Arabidopsis thaliana: one gene and its partners. The protein of the gene in region 2 interacts with the protein of the main gene of each other region in a pairwise test. Each region holds a gene or a part of one and is shown on either strand. Other genes may lie near its edges. The genes, in order: AT2G30020, KUP10 and AT5G63710.

Region 1 (9,240 bases), on a different chromosome or scaffold from region 2:
TCTTTGGAGGGGTCTACTTTGGAAGCTTATGTGTCACTAGCTTGTTGGTCCACGTTCTCCAACAGAGAACCAAAGACTCCAGTTGTCCGAACTCACTAATGTTTTGCTAGAAGATCGCACTATTGACGTGCACTCACCACCTCCACCTCTACTTTTAAATATTATTGTTTTTCTTGTCTTTTGTTGGGTAATAAAACAGATAATTTACTCAACGTGATCCTTGAGGATATGAAAAAAAATGTAGTTTTCATTTGAAATGCTTATAATTCCACAATAATGTTGACCAACAAAAAAGTTCATGAATAATCATTTTCAAATACTAAATTCATGAGTTGACAAAACACTAGTTAGTAATTAATTAATTTATTAAAATTATTAAATACTTTTTCCTGCTTCGATACACTTGCCATCTAATTACCTATGGTATTTACTTAATAAAAAATACGTCGCTTTATGAAAAAAATCCGCCGCAGCTTATCGCATATAAAGATAGATATATATTTATGTTACGAAAAATTATTTTATTTGTTTGCTTCTGGGAAGATCTCTGCCCTTCCGTGAACGTGAAGTACTATATTAACGGTCCACCACTTGTATGGATATCCTTTAGATTAGAATCCAAAAAATAAGATATTATTTTAAAGATTTTAAAGGACCCATACCATATTACCAAGTTACAGATCGAAACAATCCACTTGGAAAACATATTAGACATTGCAAGTGCAACATGTCATTCATTGGTACTAAACTTTAATGTTCTTTTCTAATCGAATTTGACTCTATATATGTATGACATGTTGTAAGTATATACTTACTCGGAAAGAGAGAAAAATCTATAGAAATCAAAGTGAAAGGTAATCAAGAAACTGTTTGACATTAAGGCGCGTGGTTTTAAAGACTAAAAAAAATGTTATGAATAATGAAAAGAGAGACATTTGATTAAGATTATGTTGATTTGCTTTAAAATAATATTTTTGGGGTACTAAGGATCAAAACATAGTAGAGACATAAGTTGCTGTTTATGTTGATAAGTGTCGTGAGAGAAGAAGACAACGACGAAGCAGAAAAAACTCGAAATTAAGGTGGCCGACAATACAACATGCTTATGTTATTGCAACTCCGAAGAACCTCTAACAACATCATCATCTTTAGCTTTTCTTTTATAGGATTGATTCAAGATCATGCACACTTGATCTTCGTATCACCAAGATAGAGATCCGAATGGTAGTAAAAGTGGCAGCAATACAAATCGAGCAATATCTGGATGTCCGAACTTCGAAGCATTGCAAGCATAGTTGAGGCAGCATGGGTTGTCACTATGTTATGTAAACGGTTTTTCCCGACTAGTTCCGGACCGCATGAGATTATAGGTCAAGGGTCCAAAAATATTTTGTTGACAAAAAAAAGTTATGTGAATTGTATTACAGTTTAAATGTTAAAACAAATATATACTTTAACCAAACTTTTATCACGTCACATGTTAATATTTAATTTGAAAATTTTCGTCGTCTTAATTTTTTTTTTGTGTGTGTGTTTTTTTTTATAGAAAAAGTTGTAAGCAAATTGTTTAGTTTTGATAGATTTTAATTTTTTCCAAAACCCTCAGAAAAAATTACGCTCTCATTTAATACTTGTACTGCATAATTTTGGTGAGGTTGTTACTCGACTTGTAGTTGTAGGAGAGTTAAAGAATCTTAAGTATTTGAAAGACTGACAGATATAATTTTTTTGGAATACACCATATTAAATAGAGCAATACATGAAAACATAGCGATTGTCAACCATGAAAAACGTCAGAAATTCGTTGGAAACAAGCTTTTGTTCCAAATTCATTAGTATCATGATTAGTCTGTTAACAGTTTTGCACTTTCCTTGGTGTAGCTCTCTCGCTGATAACCAAATTGTGGATTGCATCGATCATCTTGCCGAGATAAGCTCGGTCTCACATTGAGATAAGTGAATCCTTTACATGTGTTCCTCCGAATCCGTTTAGCTTTCTTTTTCATTCTAAATCGAATCGAGTAACAAAATGAGAGGTGTCAAAATTTCGATCCAAGGTTCTTCCGCATATATCATTACAACAATCTAACTTGAATACCATAGTTTAAGCAATTAAAGTCAAATACATGTGGTGCTTTATATTATCGGTTATATTTTCTTCTTGCACTAAATTTTCAAATCGTCGATTAGAGCTGAAGACATAATGATAAGGCCAATGCTTCGAATCAAATAATGCGAGTGAATTGTTTGCACGTATCTACGATTCGCTTCCATTTCATGGACTATTTTTTTGTGTGTCTAACATTAATTTACGAATTACATCGCGAAACAAATTGCTACAAACAAAGTAAATGGCTTTAACTATAGATTCTTATTTTGACAAAAAAAAAAAAAAAACTATAGTGTATTAAATAAAAAAAACGAGGGACCACACGCAAAACACCGATTCTAACTTTGAAAGAATAGTAAATGCCAACCAATGGCCAGTTGTAGTGGACGAACTCTGTCTTAATTACATCGTGAATATTTAATTGCATGCGAGTGTGGTTTATAGTATTATTGATATTTTCTTTGTTTATTTAGTTAATTATTATGGGTTTGTTAACAAGTCTAATTCAACTACTTCTTTTCAAGCTTTATTCCTCTTGGAAAAAAAAACTGCCCAAAAGATAAAATAGAAATTGACTTGTAAAATAACATAAAATAGACATTGACTTGTAATGAGATGAAAATAGAGTTAAAAATCATGATTTTCACAATTAAAATATGAAAAGATACAGGTAAAGTTAGGTTGTAGGGATTAACTCAATGTGGATCATGTAGGTCATGGTGTTATTTGTTAGGCTTTCATTCATAAATTTGTTTTTGAAAAAAAAAACAGTGAAATAAATGAAACTGATAGATGGAAGCTAAATTAAGTGAACTAACACAACTTATGTTACATTAAGTTTAGTTACACTGAATCGGTAGAACACATGATGTGTGTGGGACTGAAATGCTAATTTTCCGGAGATTTGGTTTGGTAAAGTTAAATACGAGAAGAAAAGAAATTAGAGTTGGAGAAACAAAAACAAGAACAAAAGAGAAAAAGCCGAACAACGTGCCGTTTTTGGGGTCCATTGGAAGACAAAAAACAACAACGTGTTCTCCGCCTACAACACAAAAACATGTGTTTGTAATTCACGTGTTGTTTTTACGTTCTTTCTTTGACCATTGTCTTCTTCCTCTTTTCACAAACTCAATCTTTTGTTTTATTTTTCTTATCCTTTTATCGGCTTATCCATGTCGGTAATCATTATCACCGCACATATTTGTTTTTGCTTGTTTCTTATATGTACATAAAATGTATATGTTCAATTTAATTTGCACATCATTTCACTCTTGTTAATATGTAATTCATCGAAAATTATGGTTCTTAATCCATGTCAACATTGTCACAATTAACAACATTGTTAGGATATATATGTCAACCACAGCCAAAATTCTAAGTGGTTTGTATTGGTCTCAATGTCTAACCAGACTGAATGTGAAAAACACGAAAATGAATAGATTTAACGAGATTTTAACTAGTAGACAAAATAAAAACATATCTTACGTTTGCATGAAAACAGATTGAGAATTTGAGATCCAAGACCAAAACTAATTAAACTACACATGTGAACAAATAATATATTTTGGGCTATTCGGGTTTGTGTCCGGCCCAATGGTTTATGTTAGCCTGTCAAACTTGAGGACTTTGTTTGTTTTTCTCCTTTTTCCTAAGAAAACTCTCTTTATGGTTGAACTTGTTTTCTCGATCAACTTCTCTTGTACCTTCGTTCCACTTTAAAACAATATTGGCCGTGTGACTCTTTGACCAGGATCACTTGTCATGTCGATTTCTTTCACGTTGCATCTCAATATGAACTTCATGTATGTTGGAGTTGTGAATTGAAATTCATCAAAACAAGGAATCTTTGATTCAGATTGAGTCAATCTCTTCCAAGCACTGTGTTGGTATTGTACTGTAGAGAAATTTGCAGGATCTTGAAACATATGACAAGATATATAACGAACCGATTATTAGATTAATTTCGGCCAATGCTCGAATCATACAAGTAATCATAAGCCACAATGAGTTTAGCTTTGTTCACTAAGTTAGAAAGAATAAATAAATGAATGGATCAAGTTAAACAAAAGAACTAAATCATATAAAACCTCCAAATTTCTAACGTTTATCATATATCTAAAATCTTCTAAGATGCCTCTCTTTTCTATATGAACTGGCGTAAAGGGATCAACATCACACTGATATCATCAGACGAGCCTCGTGAAGCAGATAAATCGACAAGCTTCTTACAGGCAGCTAACAACAATGGCTTCTCGGTTCCTAAGCAGAGAGGACGAGCAATGTCTACTGCTTCTTGGTTACTCACTTTATCCCATAAACCATCAGATGCCAAGATCAAAAACTCATGGTCATGCTCGATTCTCGAAATCTTTGTCTCTGGTTCAGCTATAACCCATTTCTTAAGTTGAGCATCTCCAATTCCTCTTGACACAGCTAAAGATCCCTGGATTCTCCAAACACCGTGAAACGTATCAACATATCCTCCCGTGGTTTCAATTCTTTTCCGTTCATCGTCTCTAGACGGGCGGTGATCAGAAGATAAAGCCTTAGCTACACCTCCTACACTCATAACAGCACGACAGTCACCGGCGTTAGACACAACAAGGTTCCCTTCGTTAACCAGAGCCGTGACACAGCATGAACCACCCTTAACGTCTTCCTCCTTAAGAAACGACGCGTCTGTTGCCAAGTAACCATGTTTCACCGCTTCAGCTATCTCAGACTCGTCTCTCTTACCAACTACTTCTTCTACAATGTTCTTATCTAAGTTCTTAGCTGCAAACTCAGCCGCTTTAACTCCTCCATGACCATCATAGACTCCGAAAATCGCCTGAGAAATTATCACAAAGCAAAACAACGTTTAGAATACACGATTCATCAATAAGCACACAATTGTTTCATATGATTCTGTAAAACTTCTAATTCTATTCAGAATTTCAATTTTCCCCAAAGAACCCTAATTTTAGATAGCTTATTAACCCAATCAATGTAGATCTCACATGATAAACCCTAATTTGAGCTGTAATTGCTAATCAATCGAATCAAAATCACCAATTCAATTCAATTCTAAACCAAAACTGAAAAATGAATTTGAAATTTAAAATTACCTGTTTACGATCTCCATGAAGATTGGTGATAGCAGAGAAACGATCCTCCATAGCTTCTCTTCTTCCTCTCTTACAATAAACAGAATAACCATCACCTTCTCTCTCAACCTCTCTACACTCCTCTCTCGGCGTCGCAGCCACAGCGGCCGATGAAGAAATCGGAGCTACAAATCCAGCAACACCAATCGGTATATCAAGCCTTGTAGGTCGTTTCCTCTTTAAAACACCTCCCGGAGGAGAGGATGCAGAAACAGATTCAGATCCAAAAGATAATGGACCAGGAGCGAATCCGGACGGAGGTTTCTGGAAACGGAGACGAAATGGAGATTTAGGAGAAGAAACGGTGGTGGATGGAGAGGAAGGAGAAGAGGTCTGAGGTTTGCGATGAGAAAGCGTTAGAGAAAGAGATTCTTGCGGTGACGAGAGAATCGAAGATTTGTTGCAGAATAGAGAAGACGACGGTGAAAACACCGGAGAATTACATACGGCGACGGAGCAAGACATCGTTTCTATATTTTGATTTCGATTTCGATGAGTAGAGATTTGTTTTTGCTGAGATTATTGTTTTTGTTTCTTCTCCTTCTGTTTTTTTTTTGTTGTGACGATGTACAGAGAGAGAAGAAGAAGGTTTTTAAATATAAAGGAAAGAAGAAGGTAATGAATATTGAATGAATTAGAGTCCGTGTTTATCGAGCTTTATTCAAAGTTTTTCAGTCTCTTTGACTTTGTAAATAACATTTATGCCCTTACAACTTTCATTTCCTTTATTTATGTTGTCCTTTTACTTTCTACAAAATGGATATTATTTTGAGGAAAACAAAATTAGCTTGAATCCTACTCTTGTTGACCAGTTTTTTTTTGTTGGCAAAATAAAGGAAAATATCATTTTTTCTTAATAATGAAAAATGTATATATCCATGAGATTTTTTATTCCAATATTTTTTCATAACCAAAATAAGAATCATTCAATTTTTGGTAACTTTATGTCAATTTAATAATAAAAACAAATTATGTCTAGTAGACTAGAACTATCATAAACAAAAAGAGGAGTATTGCAAATAAGAAGAAAGGCCCTTTGTAACGTAGAATAAAATTCAATAAAACACAGCAGATAGTACAAAAGAGAATGTTGGAGGGTAAAACGGTCATTCACAGTCTAAAATAGCTAAAACGATGAAGTAAGCGATTTATTGGGTTTGCTCTGTGAGGTTAAAACAGACATTTCAAATGAAGTCAAAAACACGTCTAAAAGGAAACGAATGCTAATAATTGGGCATGTGGGTAACGTATCTGTGTTAAAGAAGTGTTTCATTGATGACTCACTTTTTTTTTCTTCTCCTTTTTAAATTAAATGAAAAATAGAATCTTAAAGAATTTAAAACGACCGTTAGGTTCTATACGTCGTCGTTTTCATTGGATGAGTATTTTTGCTTGTCGTAGTCGCAGCTTCTAAGCAAGTGACCGTTGAGAGCCTGAAGAGGAGCCTTCGTTTTGTTTGTTTCCATTTGATGACCGTTGTGAATTTGTCAAAAAGTCTAATACATAAAGTTGTAATTGATCTCGTTTCACACGAGGTCTTCTTATTATTAAAATACAAGTCTTCTTCTTATTAAGAGAGTGTTAATTTTTTGAGTAATTTGTGACATCATTAACTGATAGTTTTGTCTTTTAAACGGTATTTGATATTCTAGAGTTGAAAAGGAATTGCAATGTTCTAGAGTTGAAGAAAAATCCATTAGAAAGTTTTTGTTAATGTTGTGAATTGTGATAGGGATGAATAGTAAACAAAGAAAAATCAGTTTTTGCAATATTATAAGACCAAAATTTCCTTATTAATAAGTATTTGCATATGATAAGACCAAAAATTTTACGTCTTATTATATTGTCATGCGATTAATGTTCCACTATTAAGCACTTTTAGAGAATGTTTTTCCGTTTGAGGCAGTTTATAGGAAATAGACACTTTTTCTATTAATTCTTTTTTTTTAAAGACTTTTTTACCCTCAATTCAATATTTATGTTTTTAATTCTTAATTTCTCTTTTTTGTTATTCCTCTTCCACGATCCTTACCCAAAATAAATAAAATCTCTCTCTCTCTCTCTCCATGATTTGTAGCGCCTCTCTCTCTCTCTCTCCACGTCTCCATAACTTTTGGAGAAGTTTCTTAAACAATTTGATCTCGATTATCTCAGGAATTTGGTAAAAGTTCTATGTCCATAAGGTATTGGAGGTGGGGTCTCTGCAAATTGTAAGAAAAATCAACAAACAATTTTTTGGTGTCCATAATAACGAGTCCATTTAAATATATCCATTCAGAAAACCTTTTACTGATTCATATTCATTCTATATACCATGTCCATATAACAGGAGATTCGATTAACCGTGGTTTGTAAAGAAACCAAAGTTCCATGTCCATAAGGTCTTGGAAGTGGAGGTCTCTTCAAACTGAAAGAAAAATCAACAAACAATGTTTTGGTGTCCATAATAACGAATCCATTTAAATATATCCATTCAAAAACCTTTCTACTTATCTATATTCATTCTATATACCATGTCAATAATAACAGGAGATTCGATTAACCGTGTTTTGTAAAGAAACCAAAGTTCCATGTCCATAAGGTTTTGAAGGTAGAGGTCTCTGCAAACCGAAAGAAAAATCAACAAACAATGGTTTGGTGTCCATAATAACGAGTCCATTTAAATATATCCATTCGGAAACCTTTTTACTGTTCTATATCCATTTTGTATATCATGTCCATAATAACAGGAAATTCGATTAACCGGAATCTCGATGCTACATAGATGAAACGAGTTTGACACATGAGAGAGAGCAAAAATCAAATCAAGCCGCCATTGTTGAAGAAGAAGATGTTTCTTAGATAATTGAATCTCAAATTTATATCAAAACAAATATTTAAATTGCAAAATAAATTACAATCTTAAAGAAACCAAGACCTCATATTCTCTAATTAGTCCAGAGAAAAAAGAAAGCCATCGCGTAGAGTGGATTTGGAGATTAATTGCAGATTTGGAATTGAAGATATTCTGGGAAATGTTTTTTTCTTCGATAAAGTGAGAAAAAAAAAAAATAGAGAAGAGATGGGAAAAGGAGAGAGAAGAAATGACCGATGGAAAAAATGTAGTTAAAGGGTAAATAAGTAAAATAATTTATCTAAAGTGACTTCTCCATTTAAAGTGCCTAATTAGGAACAAACTTTTAAAAAAGTGTCTAATCACGTAATATTCTCTACTACTAATTCATACCAAAAAAAAATGTTTGCTTTTTATCCTAGTACATAAGTTATTTAAATATTTTCGAATTATCTGATTAAATGACCTCAAAAACCGAAAAGAAAGAAAAAAAACTAATTTAGAAATATAGTGTAATTTTTCTCTTTCACCACTAAAACAAAATCTTATTTGTTCACTGTACACTTAAATACTTTTTGCGTCTTCTCTTTAAGAATACATTTTTAAAAAAGTATTGAAATGTGATTTTCATTTTTGTAGAGAATAATCATAGGCATATATATATCTCTATATACATAAACTCCGTTAGAAACAAGCGAGACCAAAATAAAACTATTACTTTCGACATGTGATGGCATTTCCGTGGGTTAGGCAATATACTTTAGAAATTGCAATCATAAATAACTTACAATTAGAAAATCATTACAATTATCAGTCAATCAGTCATAGTAATGATTATTAGTTATGATTTAATGCTGTTTATGTTCAACAGAAGACTAAGTCACATACAAGACTCCTCCTACTTGAACAATTGGACTTGGTTGTATGGGTATATATTTTTTGACCAAGTGGAATGATTAATCAAGCAAAGTAGGTTTCTTCTACTCCCTAATTAGGATTTTTATGCAGTCGTCTGTTGTTTCTCGTTGAAATTGTCTTCAATCTACTTTTTTCTTGTAAGTTTAAAAATTGCAACGTAATGTAGTTTTTTTCTAGCAACTATAATGTCATCTGCACAATAGATTTCATAAAGACATCTAACATTTAGAACT
Region 2 (11,067 bases):
GGTAGTCCTCAGAAAGAAGCAACGGCGGGGGAAAACTTCCAAGCACCTTGAGTAGGCTTTATCGTCCATACACACCACCACAACGTGGCGGAGTAGCCGCTAGGTCCCTTCGCCGATTCGAAAGCCTTCAAGAAACACATCAAACGTGGAATTTGGTTCCGCCCAAGCCTGATTCATTATCGTCACTATCACCGTCTTCTCCTTGGTCGATGCTTCTTTTAGGATTCTTGCCAAATTTCTCCTATCTTCTGCCTCAATCTATCCACAAAACAAAACTAAAGTACTTTAATGAACATGCTCTAGTAAGAATCCTCCATTTATATATTTTAAGACTACTTCTCTAGGACTATACTTGCCTTAATAATATAAAATTGGATACATCACTAGTTTTTTTTCAGGCAAACACATATATAATATACTTCAACTTGATTGATATACAACATGCTTCCAATAATATGATAAATGTGTAGATCATAAAGTTAGGTTACAAACGGTATCAGTATTGTTAGAGCTTTGTTTGACTCCAATCAGCGGCGGTACAAACGCTGAAAAGCTTGAAATTTGCTGCAGCGGTAGAGGCAGTGGCTGAACAAGTGACGCCAAATAGTAAATAACTAGAGCCAGCAAAACTGTCGAAACAAATAGAAATACATTCCACTTGACCACTATCCACTTTGCTTGAAGTAGCAATGACATCTGTCTCAGCGGCAGCGACTCTAGACCGCGGCTGCTGTTGACGGAGGGGCAATTGTTGGCCGCCTTTTTCTTAGGGATGATTATACTTCGAATATAGTCTTTAAGTCAAATCTCTTTCGCTTAGTATTGCTATGTGTACTTCTTGACTCATGCGTGCAATAGATTAAATACATCCCCGATTGTTTGTGTTAACATTTTTTCTAAAGTGTAACCCACAAGTTTAACCGTTCTAAGTTAAATTAATTTGTTAATTGTGAACGTTAAAGAGCAACGGGAATATATTTTTTTTCTTTTGGCGTCTATGTTCATACTTTGTAATTAGAAGTTTTCTAGTATATTTTTAATAAAGTTCGTTTGTTGTTCTTTTTTATTTGCAAATTAAAATGCGAATTTCATTTTTTTGTTCGTTTGATATAATCTGAGTGATAGCTAAATTGAATATTGTTGTGAAAAAATCAATGCGTGTCTATATGTATTAAATTTATTAGATGTTGTTGTCAAAAAGATGCATTAAATATATTTTTTTCCTTGGCCAGGTAGAAGACTAGAGTATAGTGACTATCGACAATCTTTTTCCAAGGCACCGTGAACGTTATCAAATTAGCTGGTATTATTAGCTTGTGTGGCTTTACTGTGACGTATAAAAGTAAATCAATACCAATAATAAATACAATCAAAAGAAGATTTGAAGTTTTTTCTTCTATAAATGATTTTCACTAACAAGCGTATAAGATTATAATTTGTCTATATATGATTTCATTTACAACCGTATAAGAATCACTTTAGTGGTAGTGTAGTACACTAATACTAATATACAATTTGCAAAATTGATCGTCATCTTTTACCTTTGATTGTATCCGTTTGACGTTAACTAAGATTGGAGTCATATATTGGACTTACAAAAAAAAATTCACAATGAACAGTCTTAAGACCATGTCTATAAAGCCTCTCTGATTAAAAAGATAAGAAATTCAGAATCCATAATCAAGACTAAAAAAAAAAGGATAAGAATCTCAACATTGTGACTTGTGAGAAGAGATTGTCTAATGAGAGCATCTCCAATGGATGCAAAATGGAGTTCTCATTGTTGGTTCTCTTGAAAAAAGAGTTGAAAAATAAATCAAAATGGATTAAAAGAGAGAGAGCTGTCTCTCTTGAGAGAGTTTTTGAGAGAGATGAGAGACGATGACGTGGTGCGTTATCATTGGTCAGTTGGTTTTAACAAAACAAGCAAAAAAAAAAGCGTGAAAAGAACCCAAACATTATTTCGTTTCCCCCAACTCTTTCTCTCTCTCTCTCTGTTCTTTGCTGAAACATGCGATGCCGATTGCTTCTGATTTCTCCTGTGATTGAGGTCACAACTGAGGCTGCTGGCGACGATTGAAGGTAGTACTGAGTGTTTGGGCAGAATTCATCATTTGCAGAGCCGCATGTCACGATCGGAGTGAGAGAGATGATGCAAATCGGAGATTCATATCGACCTCTGGAGAGTAATCGATGAAGGAAGCTCGTAAATCGTAATTGGTAAGAATCTACTTCTTTTTTGTTCTGTCAGATTGATAATCCATATAGGATTTATTTCTTATAAACGTTATGTTTTGGCTTCATTGTTTAAAGCTTCTCCTGATTCTATCTTGATCATTGTTTCTAATCATATCGATGTTTTGACTTACGTTGCTTGGAAGCTCTCTGGTTTTCAGGTGAATCGAGTTCTTGGATCTGGTATACTAATCTTCTTGGTTCCGATTCTTAATCGCAGATCATCTCGATGTTAATGCTCTAGATGTAAAGGTCAGTTTCTATCTAAATTAGGGGTTTGTGTAATAAAGCTGTGCTTTTTTTGTTTATAGACTGCGATTAAGGAGTGATTAGCTAGTTTTTATATGGTTTAGTGTGATAAAAATCTATGCTTCTGTTGTTTAATACTGCAGCTACAGAAGTGTAGAGGAGTTTCACATAGACTTTCATCTCAAATACTTATGGTTCTTTGCCTTATTCGTTTTCAGGTTATCTTTGTGTGAAGAAGTTGCAGGTTTTGGTTTGAAAAATTGCAGCTTTTAATTTTTTGAGTTATAGATTGCAGGTTATTTGCATGTTTTGGTTTGAGAAATTGCAGGTTTCTGCAAGGTTTGGTTTAAGAATACGAAGCAGCACTACCTTCTTTCCAATAACTGAAAGATAGTGAAGATGGAGGTTGAGTTGTAGGTTTCATGAGTTGCAAGTGTTTGATGAGTTACAGTTTTTTCTTAACAATGATTTGAGACTTTGGGTAGTTGCAGGTTTTCAATTTGAGACTTTGAATTCATATATCAATATTCCAGTTTGTTTTCTGCAATGTTTCAGCCATATCTTAACAAAGTTTAAAAATCTTGAGTTAGTTCTTTGTGAGGCAGATGAAATTATTTCAACTCAGATATTATCATATGCAAAGATGGCAACTAATCTCTCCCTATAGACCGACCATATCATGATTTTATTACACTAGTTGGTTGTTTGACAACAACATCAATAGAATTTTTCACACTATTACAACAATTTCAACATCAAACATTTCAACATTTCGATTTCAAAATCAATAGAATTTATTTTCTGAGAACTCTACAAAGAGAGACTACCATTGGACTTTACAAAACTAAAAAAAATAACATAAGTTCTCATCTCTTCAATTTTAAAATTTTATTCTTAAAAAAATGGTGAGAGTCCCCTAGGAGGCTCTCACCATTGGAGATGCTTACAGTCACATGGTGAGAAGTGAGAGAACTTGGAAGAAAAAGTTTATTTTGTAGAGTACAACTAAATAACTAAATAAAGTATTAATCATTTAACAAATATGGCCTATTAGCTCAGTTGGTTAGAGCGTCGTGCTAATAACGCGAAGGTCACAGGTTCGATCCCTGTATAGGCCACTTTTTTATTTTTGGTAATCCACAACTTGAAAAACTCGATTTGTGATTTTTGGGGCTAATACAACATGTGATTTATATCTGTAATATCTGACTCGATTTGTGATTATATTATATGGTCACTAACCACAATTATTTTCTTTAAACAAGATATAATCAAATGAATCATGCCTAACATTTTACATGATATATTACACATAGAAAATCTGGCCAACATTTAAAAGGCTCTCCTGAGGAACATTGAAGATGGCACTGTTTTCTCTACAAATCTTCCTAAGAAACGCATAAACATAATCAATGGCTATCCTCTTGTAGAACCTTGCCTCTCTCCTGGCTCGAACCACTGTGTTCCCCATTATATGCACCACTCCTGCGTCTCTGCACCCGTTTATGAACTCCACTTCGTCCCCTCCTCCGCTCATTTGGCTCGACCCCGTCACTGTGTGACTTGTCCGTTTTGTTGTAGTGGGAGCTATAACCGACTCTATAGAATCAAATGTATCAAACGTCGACACGTTCCTAATCTCGTTCCCATTCCCGTTGACCCCATCTCTGGACTGTCGTTGTTGGCTTCCGCAGACGCTGTAATCTTCGGAATCTGAGCAGCCTTCCATCATCGATTCGAGGCGGAGGAAAAGGAAGAGGCTTTCAAAGAGCCGTTTCTCAAAGTCGTCATCTTTCTTGTGCAAGTCTCTGTATCCGTACCTCGCAACGCAGCGGAACATGTGAAAGTTTTTGGGTCCGATTCTTTTTACAAGGAACCGTTCTTCCTGGGGAACGGTGTATACGGGAAGGTTCTTGACGCAGACAAAGATCACGACAGAGTGAGTTGCCGGCAGGTTTGTGATGAAATGAGAGAAAATGTGAGGGACTCCACTAGCTAGCTCGGTGTAAACAAGGCCAATCCCAGGAACACGGACAAGACCAAGGCTAGGACCGAGTCCGAGAATCCAAGCCATGGAGACTTTACTATGCATTTCAAACTCATACCTCTTGAGGGTTCCATAATGCCAAACATACATGATGACAAGAAACGCAGCCGCAATGACCAGCGGAACCCATCCACCTTGGTTAACCTTGAAGAGCACCGCCGAGAAGTAAGTGCATTCCACAACAAGGGATAGAAGAGTAAATAAGAGGACTAGAACCCAATGGCATCGCCAAACAAGTATCATGATCAGCATCATGAGAAGCGTTGTCACGAGCATGACAATCACAACTGCAGTCCCATAAGCATTTCCTATCTGGTTCTGGTTCTTGAATCCAGCAGTGACAGCTATGCAAAGGATCATGAGGATCCAATTGATGTCTGGAACGTAAATCTGACCAAGGAATTTCCGGGAAGTATGCACGACTTTAACTCTCGGGAAACATCCATGAGCAAGAGCTTGCTTGATCAACGAGAATGTTGCGGATATTGTAGCTTGGCTTGCAACTATTGCAGCAGCAGTTGCAATTATGAACATTGGCCAATATACTCTTTCTGCAACAACAAAAAACAAAAACAGAAACTCTTCTCTAACTTTGTCCAGAGACATCCATCGATAGTACGAAAATTGATAAGAGATATATATAACAAACTTGGAATGGATTGATAAAACGCGTCTTCGACATGATGCGGGTACTTTCTAAGGTATGCAGCTTGTCCACTATAAGCCAAAAGGAGGCAAGGAAACACAATTACAGTAAAAGCGAATTGCACAGCTGAGACTGGAAAATGAGAGAGATCCGCAAAGAGAGCTTCAATCCCTGAAATATGATGGACATAACAAGAAAATATGAATATCATAAAAGATGAAGAAAACGATAAACATTTGATCAGTTTCTTTACCTGTGATACTAAGCATAATGCCTCCAAGCGAGGTCCAACGATCTTGGCCTCCTCTTTTAAAATATCGAAATATATAAACCGGGGAAAACGCTTTCAAAACGCTTGGGTCATGTTTCCATATATTGAACATACCGATACTTGCAATAAAGAGAAACCAGAGAAATACAATGGGCGCGAAAAGCCACCCGACTCTGTCTGTTCCATAATGTTGTACACTAAACAAGCTCACTAATATCACAACAGCCACAACAACAACAATACCTGTAACAACAATCAAAAAACCTAGATTGATCAACTATCATCGCTAGCGTAAATGGGCACTGTAAAACGAATGATTTAACGTAATAATCAATACCGTTGTTTATATGAGGTAGGTTTACCCTGAGCCCACCCGCAGCAGATAGAACTGCAACAGATTAAACACGATGAAATACTATCCCGGTAGAAAAACAACAAAATGTATATATTTGGAAGGTCAATGAATAATACATTACCCGAAATGGCGGGAGTAAGGATTCCATCGCCTATCACCATGCACGTACCAACAAGAACGAGAATAAGTAGCGCATTTTTCCTAGAGGTACCGTTCTCTAACCATCTCTTGGTTTTTGCAGCAAAAGAACGCTCATGAAATGTAGTACGACTATAAGTAGTAAGCTCTTCATCAGTACGGTGTTGGTTCGGAATTGTGCTAACTTTTGCATGTCTACAGAGCAAAGAATAGAGAGCAAATGTACCACCTACTCACCAAACAAGAGACAATTCAACAAAAAAACAATACGCATAGCAAAAGCCCTGAAGCCGTGAAATGTAATACTACCTTGCCCATTATCGTTTGCTTTGCATACAACGAACACATATTTGAGGAGAGGGATGAGTGTGAGGGAATATATGATTAGCGATAAAGCTCCAATGATATCTTCAGGGTCTTTGATCCCTCGAGGAAATGTATTATAGAAAACATATAGAGGAGAAGTTCCCAAATCTCCATAAACAACACCAAGACTCTGAAATGAAAGCTGCAGAAGCAAAAACGCCGAGAATTTCTGCACCAAAACCGAAAACTACATTATATCCCCCAAACTACAAAATCTTCCATATAAGTCTCTACAACAGTCTTATAGCAACAACACAACACTCAGTGTTTAGCATCACAGAGCAACTAAAACAGCCAAGATTTATCAAGAATTATAATTAAACCTTTTCTCTATACATGTTCCTGAGGCGACCAGCTTCTTCATCCATAGGTTGATCAAGTGACTGATCCAAATCCCACATACTACCTCTCTCATCACCTTCTTCATCAATCTCACCACCACCAATGGATGATTCTACTCTCCCCGCCATTTCTTACTTTCTCAATCTTATCTTTGATTCTAAAACACAAAACCCTTTTGTTGCTATAAACCCAGAACCCTAAATCCCCTCTATAACTTCAAACCCAGATCTTCACCTAACCCAAAACCTGAATATAACCTCGAATTTGGAATCACCACGTTTCAATTCCAATTTGGTGGATTCGAAATTCTCAATTAACAGAGAACCTACAAATCCCTAAAGGAGAAATAAACATTGAAAATTCACAAAGTTTACACAAAAAGGCAAACATCTACTTATGTACTGCATCCCAATTTGAGTAAGAAATTAAAAAATCGATCCTTTAAACAAACGATTAAAGGTTTAAACTTTTTTCCTGAATTTGCAAAATCAAAATTCGTCAAAGAAAAACAGAGAACCCCAAAAACCCCTATGGAGAAAGTGAAACAATTTGAAATTCTTGTATAAAGAAGAAAATGTTTTCAACGTTATGGAGCATTTACTTTGGTGGGGCTCGGTTCAATTCACAGACTCAAATTACACAAAACCCAAGCGAAGACGATCGAAGTTATCGGGAAAAAGCAGAATTGGGTTTTTTGAATTTCTTCGTTCTCTTTTAAAAACGAATTTATTCAGCTGGTGATTGATAGGAACTAAGAACTAACTGAATTCCTGTTATTTTCTCAGAGAAAGTTCTCTGATTAACAGAGTAAACAAATCAGTTTTTTTGTTATGGTGAAAGAGAGAGAGAGGGAAGAAGAACTGGGGAGGGGATATATGATTACGACAACGACGAGGATTGAGAGATTTAATTAAAAATATAATTAGCGTTTTTAAAAATTATATAATTAAACTTTATGTCATTGTATTGAAATTGTATTATACTAAAACTGTCTCTGTCTTTTGGGGACATTACCTAATTTATTTACGTATATTTAAATTTCTATACAAGGCTGTCAAAAAATAAAAATACCAAAAAATTATTTACAAGTTTATATTCCTATAGATGAAATAGGGAAGAATAAAAAAAAGGAATAGTAACTGTATTTTTAATTTGTTAAAAATATTACAGAAACACAATTGATTTGTGTTGTTATTTTTATTAACATATATAATGTGGAGTATAAATTATTAGAATAAATAAATAAATTGGACAAAAACTTCGCTGCCGGCTTTGCCGCTAGGACTTCAAGCCCAGGTAAATTCTCTTTGAAGAACAAAACTTCATTTTTCCAGCTTTGACCTTGTGAGATTTTTTAACTTCGTTTAAAAAAAAGCATAATTAAGGTCAAAGTACACTGTTCTATCTCTATCATGTGGTCTCGTACTTTACCATTTTGGGTAACCAAAATAAAATGGAAATTAGAGTTCATCAAAATTTAATTTATTTATTCCTTAATTATATTGTGTATCATCTTGTAATACGTATTTATATGTTCAAACTTCAAACATTAGACATTTGACTCAAAGAAAATGATGTTCAGAAATAGATAAATCGCAAACAAGATAATGCTTGTTTAACAATACATACACCCCAAGTATTTTTTTCTCTCTTTTTTTAGTGTTTTAAAAAGACACGTTATCTGATAAATCTTATCATCAAATGACATTCTTTAAATCGAGGATGTGCAGTTAACTTATTGGTGTAATCATGTACGAATTTTTTTTAAGTCTATAATAGTACGTAATGTTTATAGCTTCTTCTTAAATATTTGACTAAACTTGATCTCAGTTGAGGATCTTCGACTTCGAGTATGTGCTAAAGATAAACAAATAATTGTGTTATCTTGCGCGTAATAACTAATAAGAACTGTGCTATATGTTTGGCCATGAAAATCAAAATATTTATATACTAAAACAAATCATTAAAAAAAAAATAAAAAAAAATCATAACGTGTCCTCATTTTATGTTGGTAACAGGTAAGATAACCAAATTAAAATTACGATACATTTATCAAAAAAAAAATGTTTCCAATTAAGTTATTTACTTTTCATGTATATGTGCATGTGTGAATTAAAAGATACGATTAAAACTGTTTTAAATTTCTTTATCTATGATTAGAACTTGAAATACATAAGAAACTTTAAAATCTATAGCCGTAATTATCATTTTGCGATGTTTCAAAGAAATGTCTAATAACACTCTCGATCGATCTTAGATAAATTATGATAAACAAGCTAAGTTAATGTCCATTTGGTTACTAGCTACCACTAGGTTAGATAGCTAAAAGCTAGCATTCAAAATTATTTAAATGACATTTTCATAATAACAAGACAGTCTTTTGAAAAAAAAAAAAAAAAAAGCCTTTTGCCTATGAATTTTAAGTTGATGCTTTGTATTTTTCGAATTTGTTTTTGTTAAATTGTAAATATTTCATTGAAAATGAACAAAATTTAGGTTACAAACATAAAATTTGAAATCTATACATATGGATCTATGGCAAAGAAGAATAAAAACATAGATGCATAAAAGACGGTTAATTAAAAACTAAATTTTCGATCCATTTTCTCAATCTGGTATTGAAGCGAGAGAAGATTTTTTTTCGCTTCCCTTGCATGATGCAACAAACTTTTCTTTTCGAATTAAAAGTTTCAAAGTGACCATGGACTGTGACAAAGTGTGTATCATAAAAAAAAATCTTGCCTACTCTGATGATCAACCTCGAAGTCTTTTAAAAAAAAAAGAAACTAGAATTGTATGGACTCATATGTTACTACGATATGTACATGCACGTGTTTGTAACCTAAAATTGACAGAATGAGACATACAAGACAGCTGATACGGTAACCATAAGTGGTCCTTGCCCGGAAAAGAAAAACAAATATGAAAAAAAACAAAGCTGGTCCAATTTTTATCATTATTTATTATTATATTTCGTTAATTGGCTAATTACAACAACATAGATAATAAATGATGTTTAATTACAACAACAAAAAATACACCTTTTGGTTCTGGAATATCATAATATCATTATTTTCTCCCATTATTTTATATCATATCACTCAACTCTTTTATTAAACATAGACCAAAGTAACAGCTATTTATTCATGATTTTATCACCACATTACTTTTGCAAATAAGAAAATAATATTTGGGTATCTAGAAGGTTAATCCAAGTTTCAAACTCCCATGACGTGTTGGTATTGTTACTGATACGGCACACGTGCATCACGAGTTATGAAGCAAAGAGGCAAACGGCAAACAAATAAATAAGATATAGTTTTGAAACCAAACGACCAAAACCCCTATTTTCTTTTCGCGGGCACCACTTTGAGGTCATATTTGAACTCCATACAAAAGGAGCTTGTGAACTAATTAAGTGCACATCTTTAATAAGTTTGTCTTTTATCAAAGTTTTAGGTCCTTGTTCAATAATTATTCGTTGTGTTTGGGGCCGCTCGCTGATAAACCTATGGTACGGTAAAAAAAAAGTTTCTATCTAGAACAGCTCTCCATCTCTTCAATTTTGCAAGAAGACTCCAAGTACTACTTTACTAGTATCAGCTATATCAGGGACATGCATTAGCTTTCTAGGCATTTTGGTGTAAAGGGATTTATTAAGAGTTAAGATTCGAGTTGAGACTAATTAAGTGTGCTATCATGCTTGTCCAAAAATAGTATTCATTATGAATAGACAACCCACATCAGTTTAAACTACATGCTATAGATACATTATAGCTTATAATAGTGAAACTATGGATGACAACCCACATCACCATGTACATGGGTGATTTATTTTGGGTATTAATAGCTCAAAAATCATATTTTAATTGATCAAACTATGAATTTGGGCCTGATTTGTATCAGTGAACTGATATCTTTGATACTCAGTATCAGGTGACGTGACAGCATACGGTTGGTCAGTATTTTCACTCAAATCAGAAGAAATTTTTTTTTTTAGTAATCTTATGTTTTACTATATTAATTTCTGATTTTGTAATTTTTTTTTGATACTTAACTGGTCTCACCAATGCAAACATATTTAGTAGGAATATCATAAAAATTCTTAAATAATAAATAAATATTATAAATAATACTAAAAAAATACTTATGATACTATATGAGTATCACCCATATACATGCTCTAACAAAATCAATACAAAGAAAATCACTACTAGGAAGTAAGTTCGAGAACTGCTTGTTGAAGGTGCTCAGGAGATGATTGGTTAGAATAGTCAGAATTCACATTATTGGGAGTTACTATAAAGAACCTAACTGTGAAGAGAAAGGATGGAATCAAAACAAAGATAAATGGAATCACTGGTTTTTTTTTTTTTTTTTTAAACAATTTCAGAATGTTTCAATATCAGAATGTTCCT
Region 3 (10,707 bases), on a different chromosome or scaffold from region 2:
TCGCTTTAATAAAAACTGAGTGTTGTCGTCCAACTGCGAATAGAAGATTCCTAATGTTAGATTACTCGATGATATAGAAATATGATTCTGAGGTTGAAGATGAAAATTACAGAGAAATTAAACTTACCTTATATGCCTCAGGAATATATTCGTTCCTTGCATTTGCTACGAGAAGACTGTATAATCTTCTCAGAGATTGAAGATTACGCTCTACGTTATTGGGCTCCATTGAAAATAATTCAGAAAAGAACGAAGAAGAAGAAGAAAGAAGAAGAAGGAGAAGGAGATTTTCAGACAGAGTAAAGAAGAATATGAAGAAGAAGCAGAGAGATGCGAGTAATGGAGTGGAAACAAATTAACCGAATTGCTTTCGTGTCTGAAAAGCAACGTTGGTTCGTCTTCGTCAAACACCAAAACGACACCGTTTACGAAATAGTTGTAAATCACATTGGTTGATTATGTTCCATTTAAATAATTCGAGGTTTGTTGACAAAATAAAAATAAAATCTGAGGTTGTTTTTGTAAATTCCGATATTCCATTTTCAGATAAGATTTTTTTTTTTTTTTTCCTGACTGATTCATCGTTTACTTACGAGTCTTCATGGACAAAAGAACTTGATGATAGACTTTTTTTTATAAAAATACAAATTAAACTGACTTTGCTCGTATAAAAAAGCTTACCAACTTTTTGAAATTCTAAGTTACTCCTCAAGTCTACCTAAACTATTTAACACACCCAAATAAAGCAATAGTCAACACTGTATACTTGGTAGCGTAGTTCATATATATACACTCGCAAATCACGTCCAATCTCGCTTCTTTCATGAAAATAACAATCAATCACAATCTGTGAATTTACAATATGTAAAACCTCAATAAAAGGTCCTTTTCAATTACGTGTAGATGTGTAAATAGCATTTCAACTTGACGAGACTTTTAATATTGAGGAGAAGCCATCCATTCCATATCATCATATTCACGTGCAAAGATTTCTTTTGTTCTTTGGTTTAACCCTTATTTTTCTCTTCCTTTTTCACCTCAGTTAAAATGGAAGACAAATGAAATGATCATATGTCAATGGTTATGGTTTATATACTGATTTAAAGGTTGCAAAAAATCATACACTGAACTCAAAGATGTGAAAAATGGAACAATTCACAAATTACAAGATTTACTCCCTCGATCTTATTTATATATCCTCCAAGATGCCTTAACAGATTGTGTTTCCAAAGTTAATAATATTAGCGCTAAAGAATCAGTAAATAAAATGCCTCTGAAAGTGTATAAAAAACAAGATTTGCATGCATAGATCCAATCCAGATTTCTTTTGTTCGTGTTTTTTTTTTTAGTAAAAAGAACAGCTACTGCGTGCAAATAAAGATTAGAAACGTTTCAAAGTAAATCAAAAGGGGAAACAGTGAAAGATAGAAGAAATAAATAGTTTATATTCTAGGGAACATAATTCTAGCTATTCAAAGAGTTTGTCAATGGTTATATATAAGAATTAACACTGTAACATGGTTTTAGCAAAAAAAAAAAAAAACACTGTAACATGGTTATACTCTAGATGGGCCAAAAAGCTTCTGAAACATATATAGGTTTTGAATGGGGTGAGAACTGAGAAGTGATATAAAATGTGAAAAGATTTTCTGAAAAATGCGATAAAATAGGTTGAGGGGAATGAAGCCTGGTCCGAGAATCATTTAGAGTTTTGAGTTGGGTTAACGAATTACTCTCCATGACCTCGAGCCAAACAACATTCCTCTAAACCCTAAATCGCTTCACTATAAGAAGAATAAGATGAAGAGGACAAGAATGTAAGCAACTTTATGTAAGTAAAAAAGAAGAAGAAGAAGGAAGCATGTGACAGGGCAAAGAGACCCAAGTAGTCTCTTCTATTTATAGAGAGGACAAAAGATCTAAGCCCTAGATTTTTCTTCTGCATTTTTTTACATCGATTTAGTAACTTTGGTTTAATAGGTTTTGGTTAATTTTGGTTATTGTCTTTATATGGTGTGTGTAGGGTTACCTAAAATAGAACTTTACAGTGTAGTCGAGACTCGAGAGTGGTAAAATCCGACATACTTCGAGTTAGTACATTCAAAGTTCAAACCATTTCCATGACTAGATTCAATCTCCTTTTTAAGAAAATATCTACAATTGTCTTTAATTGTTTCTTGTGTATATTTAATTTCAGTCATTTCCGAGGCCAACAGCAATCTTCCTCTTATTTAAAATCTCTGTCAAGTCTCCAAAAGCTTTTATCAGAAGGAAAAAGTCTCCAAAAGACACATGTTGTAATATATACATCAAGGATTGAGTGTTTGTCTTTAGTACCATATACGAAGTAATGAAAATTCATAGTTTGAACAATTTTGTTGTAGTTTCTAGACCGAATATTATTGATTTCTACTGCAAAAGTTACATGCTGTAGTTATAGGATCATTTTTCCTTTCTGAATATAAGTGTCTAATTCACAATTTAAAATAAATAAAATATTATACATAATGGTAAATGTGCATATAATATGTCTAATGGTATTGAATGCAAGACAAGTACCTTCCTCTCGATTTATTATTACCTTATTATTGCTTTTGGCTCCACCTCAACGACTTACTAAATTTTGTCTTTTTTTTAGTTATAAATTAAAGTAGTATGATTTACATTTCTTTTTTTTACCAAGTCATGTATATACTAATACTAATACTGGTTAGAAATGTTTTTTTTCAATGTTATAGGTTTTATACTAGTAACAAAATCTATCTATACTAATATGAATCATGGTTGATATATCTACTATATTTTGAATATCATCCCACTTTTTCACATGATAACTCTTTTTTTTTCAACATGTAAAATATGCATACATATTTTTTTTTGTAGGGAGTAAATATGCATACATATAGCTTGTAACATTGTCTCCCTATTGATTGCGTATTTAATAAAATTTTGCATATAAAATTTTTTTTTTGGGGACCCGTTGTTTGTTATTTAGGGTACGTCTGAGAGGCTCAGGAGAAATACCGAAGAACACGTCATAACAAACCAAAGAGATAGAAAAGGAAAACGAAGATCTGGACGTTCATTCATAGTTGAATCGGACGGTGGAGAAGAAAGTTACCTGGGAACCGGACATGTCGGTGTCAGCGGAAACCAAGCACCAAGAACCGAGAAAAACAGCCCGGTTTACGAGGAAGTTAGAAAGGAGTTCTCTTTTTCACTGACCGCTTACGTCTGTCTCCGGTCCCATTCCTTGCCTCATCCTTCATTTAACGCACCCAAAGTACACAACACCAAAATTAACAATCTGTATTTTAATACCAGAGGATCTAGAGTTTAAGAATAAATCTTAATCCATGAAAGTTCTGTTCTTATGAATCTACACTCTGAATCCATGTCACTACAACAAAAACATCTAGATTTGTTTTGTTCTGTCACTGTATCATCCCTTCCAATAAATCACTAGTCTAATAATTTCATGAGATACATAGACTGGACAATTAGTTTTCTTGATAGTACATCATTTACAATCTAGAAACAAGAATACTCGACGTGCAGAAAAAAACAAGAATACTCGACGTAAAATTAGCCATAAACAATGTCACAAGTGGGGTAAATTGTTAGAATACAAAAGTTGAAGGTAAAATTGAAAAACCAACTAAACTTCAAGGACTGGATTCAGAAGTTTATAATTTTTACGGGACACACACGAAACGACGACGTATGTAGAAAAACAGAGCAAACACTGCCACCATAACAACCATGATCATCATTATCATACGAAAATAACCAAATTCATATATATACAAAACACAACTAGTTATGTATATCATATCATCTATTACACAAATCAACGTTGTGTGTTTGCTTCGTTTTCCCCACCTGGTTCAATACAATTAGCAGCTTAAAATACTTTCTAAGTTTATCTTCTGTAATGCAAGTTTGTTTTCATAGATATCTTTCTCTCTCTGTTTCTTCTTCATCTTGCTGTCGATAATCGGATAGATTCTTGATCAACGGTGGTTTCTTCTTCATCCCAAGTAGCCGGTAAAGTCGGAAGCAACAATGCTTCTTTGTTCCTAACTTCTTCAAGTTGTTCCCATTCAGTCCATTTCTCAGCCAAACCACCAGTCCCTTGAAGCATTTTGACCACTTCAGACATCGCTGGTCTATCTTCTGGTGAGCCTTGTGTGCAGAGAAGAGCCACTTGAACGATTGTTTCAACTTCTTTGGAGTCATATGTAGTCAAATTGCTATCAACAATGTCTCTAAGTCTCTGTTCTCTAAGCAACTTCTTTATCTGTTTCATACACATCCAACAACTTAAGATTAGTTTCAAGTCTTTTCAGATAGAAGAAAGCATGTAAAAGAAGTCAATCTTACATGATCAAGCAAGAGAATATTTTCCTCTTCTTCCAAGCGTGAAAAATCGATTGCGCGCTGACCAGTAACAAGCTCAAGAAGCGTTATACCGTAACCAAAAACATCGGTTTTTTCAGATGATTTTCCTGTGCAGAGATACTCTGGCGCAATGTGACCCATTGTGCCTCGGACTTGAGTTGTGACATGAGTCAGAGATGTGTCCACAAGCTTAGCTAAACCGAAATCTCCAAGAACTGGCTCAAAATTGTTGTCTAAAAGTATGTTTGCAGCCTTGAGATCGCGGTGTATGATCTTCGGGTTACAATGTTCGTGTAGATACTCTAAACCGTGAGCTGAACCAAAAGCTACACGCTTCCTTGTTGGCCAGTCTAATCCTTCCTCTCCCGCTTTCAAATCTACAATGTCACATATGTACACACACATTATAGAATCTATTATTTGGTTAAGTGATAGAGAAGCTAAGTATATATACCTCTTAGTCGATATGCAACACTAAGATTTTCCATGTATGGATAAACAAGGATTCTCTCAGAGGAAGTTGTGCAGAAGCCAATAAGGCGTAAGAGATTTTTATGAACCGCAACGCTTATGAGCTGAATCTCTCTTTGGAAAGCAGCTTCTCCTCCAGGACTGAAGTAATCCGCAAGGCGTTTCACTGCAACTTTTGTTTTGTCTGGAAGCAAACCTCTGTATACTTTACCAAATCCTCCTTGTCCTATCAAATTGCTCTCGTTGAAACTATCTGTTGCGAGCTGGATTTCACGTAAAGAGAATCGTTTTAGTTGTCCAAAGGAAATCTTCCTGTCATCTTCCCCTGCATTTTTTAAGGAAAAAGGATATTGGCTCAAGAGTTCATATTGATCTAATGAGATGTTTGACTATAAGTATATGTAACTTCTTACCAGCTACATCAAAAAAGATGTCGTATTTGGTTCTGCGGACGCGATGGTGATGATACATAACCATTGCTCCAAGGAATAAGATTATAGAAGCAACACAACTTGCAGTCAAAGTAATGTCTCTCAGCTTTTTCTTGGAGGATGTGACTGAACATAAAGATACTAAGTTAAGTCTTTCTGTTTGTATGTGAATTGGAGAAAGAAGAAATAATTAAGAACCTGGAAGACGAGAACTTGAAGAACAAGGCTGATTCAAACTTTTACCGCATATAAGCTGAGTTCCTGAAAAACTGCAGAAAAATCACAAAAACGTGATTATAGTACTGACAAGTCACTGTGACTAATTAGGTAGATTCATGAGGAAAATAGTTTTTTTTACTCGAATGTTGGGATTGAGAAGAATTGTGTTGGGATGCTTCCTGTTAAATTATTGGATGAGAGATCCCTGTGAATTAAATTTCAATGTTTTATCTTAGCCAAACGCTCTCACAGAGTCACATTTCAAAGATTGTTCCTAAAGAGTTTTTGAGTGGACTTACAAGTGCTTTAGATTCGAGAGCTGACTCCAGCTCGCTGGTATCGATCCGCTGAAACTATTCACTGATAGGTTTAAAGTCTGTAGATTAACCATGTTCCCAAGAGAATCTGGTAAGGCACCAGATAAACTATTGTTCTGTAACTCTCTGCATCAAGAACAATTACTATGAGTAATGGAACCTAAAAAGAAACTTGTAATGGAATTGGTTTATGATCTCTTACAAGGTAACCAAGAACTTCAGTTTTGTAATAGCTGGAGAGAGTGTTCCTGTGAATCCACTCGAGGCAAGATTTCTACAGATTGATACAAAACAAGTTTTTCAACATGATGAGAAATCTTGGTAACTAAAACTTGAGAAGTGATCTTTAAGAGTACTTACAGAGCCACAACACTCTGGCCTCTGCAGGTAACATAAGACCAACTATAGCAAGGGCTCACAAAATCGCGTGTCCATTTTAGACGATTGCTCGAATCATTAAGCGAATCTCTGAGCTGCAACAGAGCTCCTCCTAGCAAATGAATCAAGAAGCGAGTTAATACTACAAGATCATTAATGATTTATAAACAAAGGCTAATTATATATAGACCTTCGATATCTGGTTGAGTTGTTGACGAAGTGATTCCCACAAAAGCTAAGGCCATGAAACATTGTAAGATCAATTTCTGATTGTTCCATCTAAAGCAATTTCTTTGAATGAATCCTCGAAGAGGATCATGGAAACTTTCACCGTTCCCTGCAGTTTATTAAATCAGTCAATCTCAGTTTAAACAGCTTTTCTTTTCTGCTGCAGAATCTATAGTCTAAATTGCAGCAAATCGATGGAGAAAGTTAACTTACTATACAAGAAACACATAACTTGTGTGATCAAACTATGTTAACTAAACATAAGAAAGCAAAGAAAAGAAAAGACCGATTTGTGGGTCTAATTATGTCTTAAAAACTAACAGCTTTGATTGCTTTCTGATGTGAAACATTGTCAGATCAATCCATAACTCCTCTATCAGAGCTCATTTGAACCGAAAACATTAAGAAAAATGAAAGCTTATAAGTATCAAGAACAACAAAATTTATAATTCTGTCTTTGACTCTTTGCTTTGATGATCAAAAACCTCTCCGTTTCACCTAAATATGTACCAAATATTTTGTAACTCGAAACTAAAAGAAACAATAAAGTTATGTAAAATAAACAACAAAAACCAAGAAACCTAATTAATATACAATGGAGAAAGATAGGCATTAAAGTATAAGTAAAACAAAGCTTTTAAATACCCGAGTGAGCCATAGAGGAGCTGAAAACACTCTAAACGGAAGAGAACGAAAACATGGGGTTGAAGAGAGAAATGGAGGATTTGTATAATAATGAAGCCAATAAAAGCAACAATAATGTAAAATCATCTAAAGAAAGAGAAGTTAGTGCTTATAAAGGACCCACAAAAGGTATTTTTCATATTTTTATCTCTATGATGTAAAAAGAAGATGAAGAAATGCTGCTTTGAGAGAAAGAGAATCCCACTAAGTTGAAACATCTTTGATTTCTTAATGGAGGTGTATTTTTCCATCTTCTTTTGCTTCTTTATTTTGGGTGAGATCTCTTTTGCAAGTGTGTAACTTGGGATGTGATTGGGGCTAAAAAGGATATCAATTTTAACAAAAAAGGATATAGATGGCCCAAAATAAACATAAAGTAATAAAGAATGATTTAAACGAATTAGTAATAGAAAACAAACCAATGACTTAATTAAGAACTTAATAATGTTTGGGAAAATGGCTTATGCTTTAGGAAGAGACAGAAGCATGTGTAAGAAGGTTCCACACTTCCACTTGTTCGTGTTATATTACTCCACTATTCTGGACGATGACAATGCAAAAGGGCGTTTTTGTATATATTCCTTTCTTCTCTGACCTTCAAATCAAAGGATATGATACAAACTAAAATAGTTTTAACATAACCTATAACTATATATATATATATATATATTTAACTATCTGTTTTTGAGTAAATAAATTCAAACATTGAGAAGTTTACATTTTTAACATTTATAAGGTAAGTAATTGATCTTTTGATATCCTTTTAAAAAACAAAAAAAAAAACAAATTTAGTTACCGCCTTTCAAAAAAGACGTAGTAAAACATCAATGTTTAGAAAACTTTAGGTTATTTCCCTTAAGAGCTATGTTGAAACATCATGTAGAAATGTAGGCAGAAGAGAAAAAAAGATAGATATTTTTAATAGGAAAATTAGGTGAAGAAAAGAGAAAGAGAACATAATGTGAGGAAGAAGAGACTAAGAATATATACGGAATAATGATATCAATACTAATATGCTTGATTAGTTGGACATGTTCTTATGCTCCTCCCTTTATATGTTGTCATACGATTCTTCACCTTATTGAGACTTTTGTTCGATCTGCAAAAAGATCTGATGATCATATCTCAATCTAGAACGTATATTTCAAAAGTTAAATTTCATCAACATTCACAAATAAAACAAACTCAAATTTATTTTCTATTTTTATCAGGAAAAAATGAACTTAGGTAAGTGAGAAAAAAGCCTTCAGAGCAAAAAAAAAAGAAAGAAAGATAAATTTGAACATTGTGAAACCAAATGCCAGATTACTTTTCTTACTTATTAAAATCTTATAACTTGTAAATGATTTGTTCATAAAAATGTTATAATTAGTAAATTAATTTTAACAACAAATATCACTTATAATCCAAAATTTAGGTAAAGACAAAACTTGGTTCGATATCTTTTGTACTTGCGAGCATTGTACTTCCCGGTCACAAAACGCAATCGCTAAGTAAAAAAAAAAGGTCCATCTGAACGCAAGACTTATTCAATTTACGAAATAACCCCTATGAAACTGTGTTTAATGGACACGTGTCCTGGATACGATAGGGGTATAATAGAGACTTTAGGAAAGTAGAGGTTGGCGTTTGGGTGATTGGTCAAAGCGAATCCTTAAGAATCTAGTAATACTGACACAGGTCACTCAAACAGCTATTTATTTGGCTAATTTTCAGCCTTAATATCAGAATTAGAGAGATAAGTTTTTCTTCTTCTTGCTCTGTCGCCACTAACTAGGTCACCGCCAAGTAACATCGGATCGAGAGAGAGAGAGCGATGGCGAGAGATATGAATGTAGTGGAGATTTTGGATGATGAGGAGGAGGATGAGAAGGAGTGTGAGGATTGGTGCTTTATCTGTAAAGATGGTGGAAACCTAATGCTCTGTGACTTCAAGTGAGTCTCTCTCACTTAGTTAAGCATAATGCTGCTGCTGCTTCGGTAGAGGATTAGTTTTTTTTGTTTGCTTGTTCTTTGCATGTTCTTGATTTCTAATGATGAAGGGTGTTTTAGTCTTTGTTGGGTTTTGCTTATATTATAACGAGGATTTGTCAATTTCAATGTAGGATTGTACCGAGTGAACATGTATGTTGTCTTATTGGTTCTTTTTTATAGATTTGTTTGTCTAAGTGGAAACAGGAAACTTTGTGTTCTTCACTAGGAAAGTACTTCTTTTTCAATCAAGTTACTTTTGTTTATTCAAATTGACGATTAGGGGATTTCGTTTGGAGGCAGTGATTTATGCCAAAAGAAGTCATTTCCTCTGAATGATGAAGCTATAAAAAATGTTACTGCTTTGGTTTTTTTTGATGATTCTTTCATATGAATGCGCTTGAGGAGAGACATTGTGTATTATTCTGTAGTTAAAGGTATAAAGATGTTTCTTTTTTCTTTAGTTCATTAATTAGGAGCTTAGGTAATGTAGCAACATTGACTTTTTCCTTCTATTAAATTGCAGCAGATTGTTAATGTATGATTTGCATGAAAATTAACAATTTCATTATGAAAAGATTGTCAAGATGAATATTAAAGTATTGTCAGTTTGTCAGTACACTTGTGATATTTAGTCTAGTTTAAATGTATGCATCTAACTGTGCACCTCATTGTGCTTGCTTGTTTCAGAGACTGTCCAAAAGTTTATCATGAAAGTTGCGTTGAAAAGGATAGCTCAGCAAGCAAGAATGGAGACTCGTATATCTGTAGTAAGTGCTAAAGTTTCTCTATATATATTTGTATGTTCATTGCAATGTTATTATCATTTTGAAGTAGTTTGGTTCCTTTGAATTGTAAGATATACCCCTGTATCTGTAGAGTGTAGATAAAGGTTCATATTTGTAGTCAGAAGGGCTAATTGTGAATTTTTCAACTTTCAGTGTGGCACAGTTGCTACTTGTGTAAGAAAACACCAAAGCTATGCTGCCTTTGTTGCTCACATGCTGTATGTGAAGGCTGTGTCACTCATGCTGAGTTTATTCAACTTAAAGGGGATAAAGGGTTATGCAATCAATGCCAGGAGTATGTCTTTGCTTTAGAAGAAATTCAAGAATATGATGCTGCTGGGGTATGTTTCAAACTGTTATTACTCAACTTTGGATAGTAGTAGTCTCTAACCTTGAAATTTTGGTTTCCATCCATTGCAAATAACTAAGGTGTTTAGGATTTGTAAACTCTGTATTAAAGAGATTTATGTCCATTTGAAACAAAAGTGAGTATGAAATTGGATGAATCTGAGTGAAACAACTCTAAAAGTTTCAATTAGATAATTTGGTTAGGCTTAGGAAAAGGATGAATCAACTACACATTTGGTATGTCTTATTGTATATGTCTATCTCCCAAGCTTGTCTTAAAACTTTTGTTTGCTTAACACTCCTTTACTGGTTTGGCAGGATAAGCTTGACTTGACAGATCGGAATACATTTGAGTGTCTGTTTCTTGAGTATTGGGAAATTGCGAAAAAACAAGAAGGTCTAACTTTTGACGATGTCCGCAAGGTCTGCGCTTCAAAGCCACAAAAGAAAGGTGTCAAGTCAAAGTACAAA

What was found.
Region 1: the proteins of KUP10 (region 2) and AT2G30020 interact in a protein complementation assay, tested with the Arabidopsis thaliana proteins (one large-scale study listed by BioGRID).
Region 3: the proteins of KUP10 (region 2) and AT5G63710 interact in a protein complementation assay, tested with the Arabidopsis thaliana proteins (one large-scale study listed by BioGRID).

What each region holds. Positions count from the first base shown.
Region 1 is NC_003071.7:12,810,918-12,820,157, reverse strand, and holds AT2G30020 (Protein phosphatase 2C family protein), read right to left. Parts: upstream 5,888-9,240; 5' UTR 5,722-5,887; coding exon 5,218-5,721; intron 4,941-5,217; coding exon 4,254-4,940; 3' UTR 3,798-4,253; downstream 1-3,797. UniProt on the Arabidopsis thaliana protein: Protein phosphatase that negatively regulates defense respones. Inactivates MPK4 and MPK6 MAP kinases involved in stress and defense signaling.
Region 2 is NC_003070.9:11,100,585-11,111,651, forward strand, and holds KUP10 (K+ uptake permease 10), read right to left. Parts: upstream 7,512-11,067; 5' UTR 6,778-7,511; coding exon 6,631-6,777; intron 6,477-6,630; coding exon 6,251-6,476; intron 6,171-6,250; coding exon 5,925-6,170; intron 5,837-5,924; coding exon 5,786-5,836; intron 5,692-5,785; coding exon 5,431-5,691; intron 5,349-5,430; coding exon 5,181-5,348; intron 5,083-5,180; coding exon 3,791-5,082; 3' UTR 3,653-3,790; downstream 1-3,652. Other genes in the region: AT1G31095 (lactate/malate dehydrogenase, NAD-binding domain protein), read left to right, coding at 2,194-2,206, 2,314-2,396, 2,628-2,678, 2,780-2,812, 3,040-3,060. UniProt on the Arabidopsis thaliana protein: Putative potassium transporter.
Region 3 is NC_003076.8:25,495,871-25,506,577, reverse strand, and holds AT5G63710 (Leucine-rich repeat protein kinase family protein), read right to left. Parts: upstream 7,068-10,707; 5' UTR 6,675-7,067; coding exon 6,659-6,674; intron 6,646-6,658; exon of another isoform or gene 6,555-6,645; coding exon 6,408-6,554; intron 6,330-6,407; coding exon 6,200-6,329; intron 6,114-6,199; coding exon 6,042-6,113; intron 5,966-6,041; coding exon 5,822-5,965; intron 5,728-5,821; coding exon 5,662-5,727; intron 5,573-5,661; coding exon 5,502-5,572; intron 5,430-5,501; coding exon 5,286-5,429; intron 5,198-5,285; coding exon 4,856-5,197; intron 4,779-4,855; coding exon 4,384-4,778; intron 4,301-4,383; coding exon 3,980-4,300; 3' UTR 3,747-3,979; downstream 1-3,746. Other genes in the region: KPL (kokopelli), read right to left, coding at 1-33, 128-229; AT5G63700 (zinc ion binding / DNA binding protein), read left to right, coding at 8,946-9,064, 9,791-9,870, 10,042-10,229, 10,555-10,707.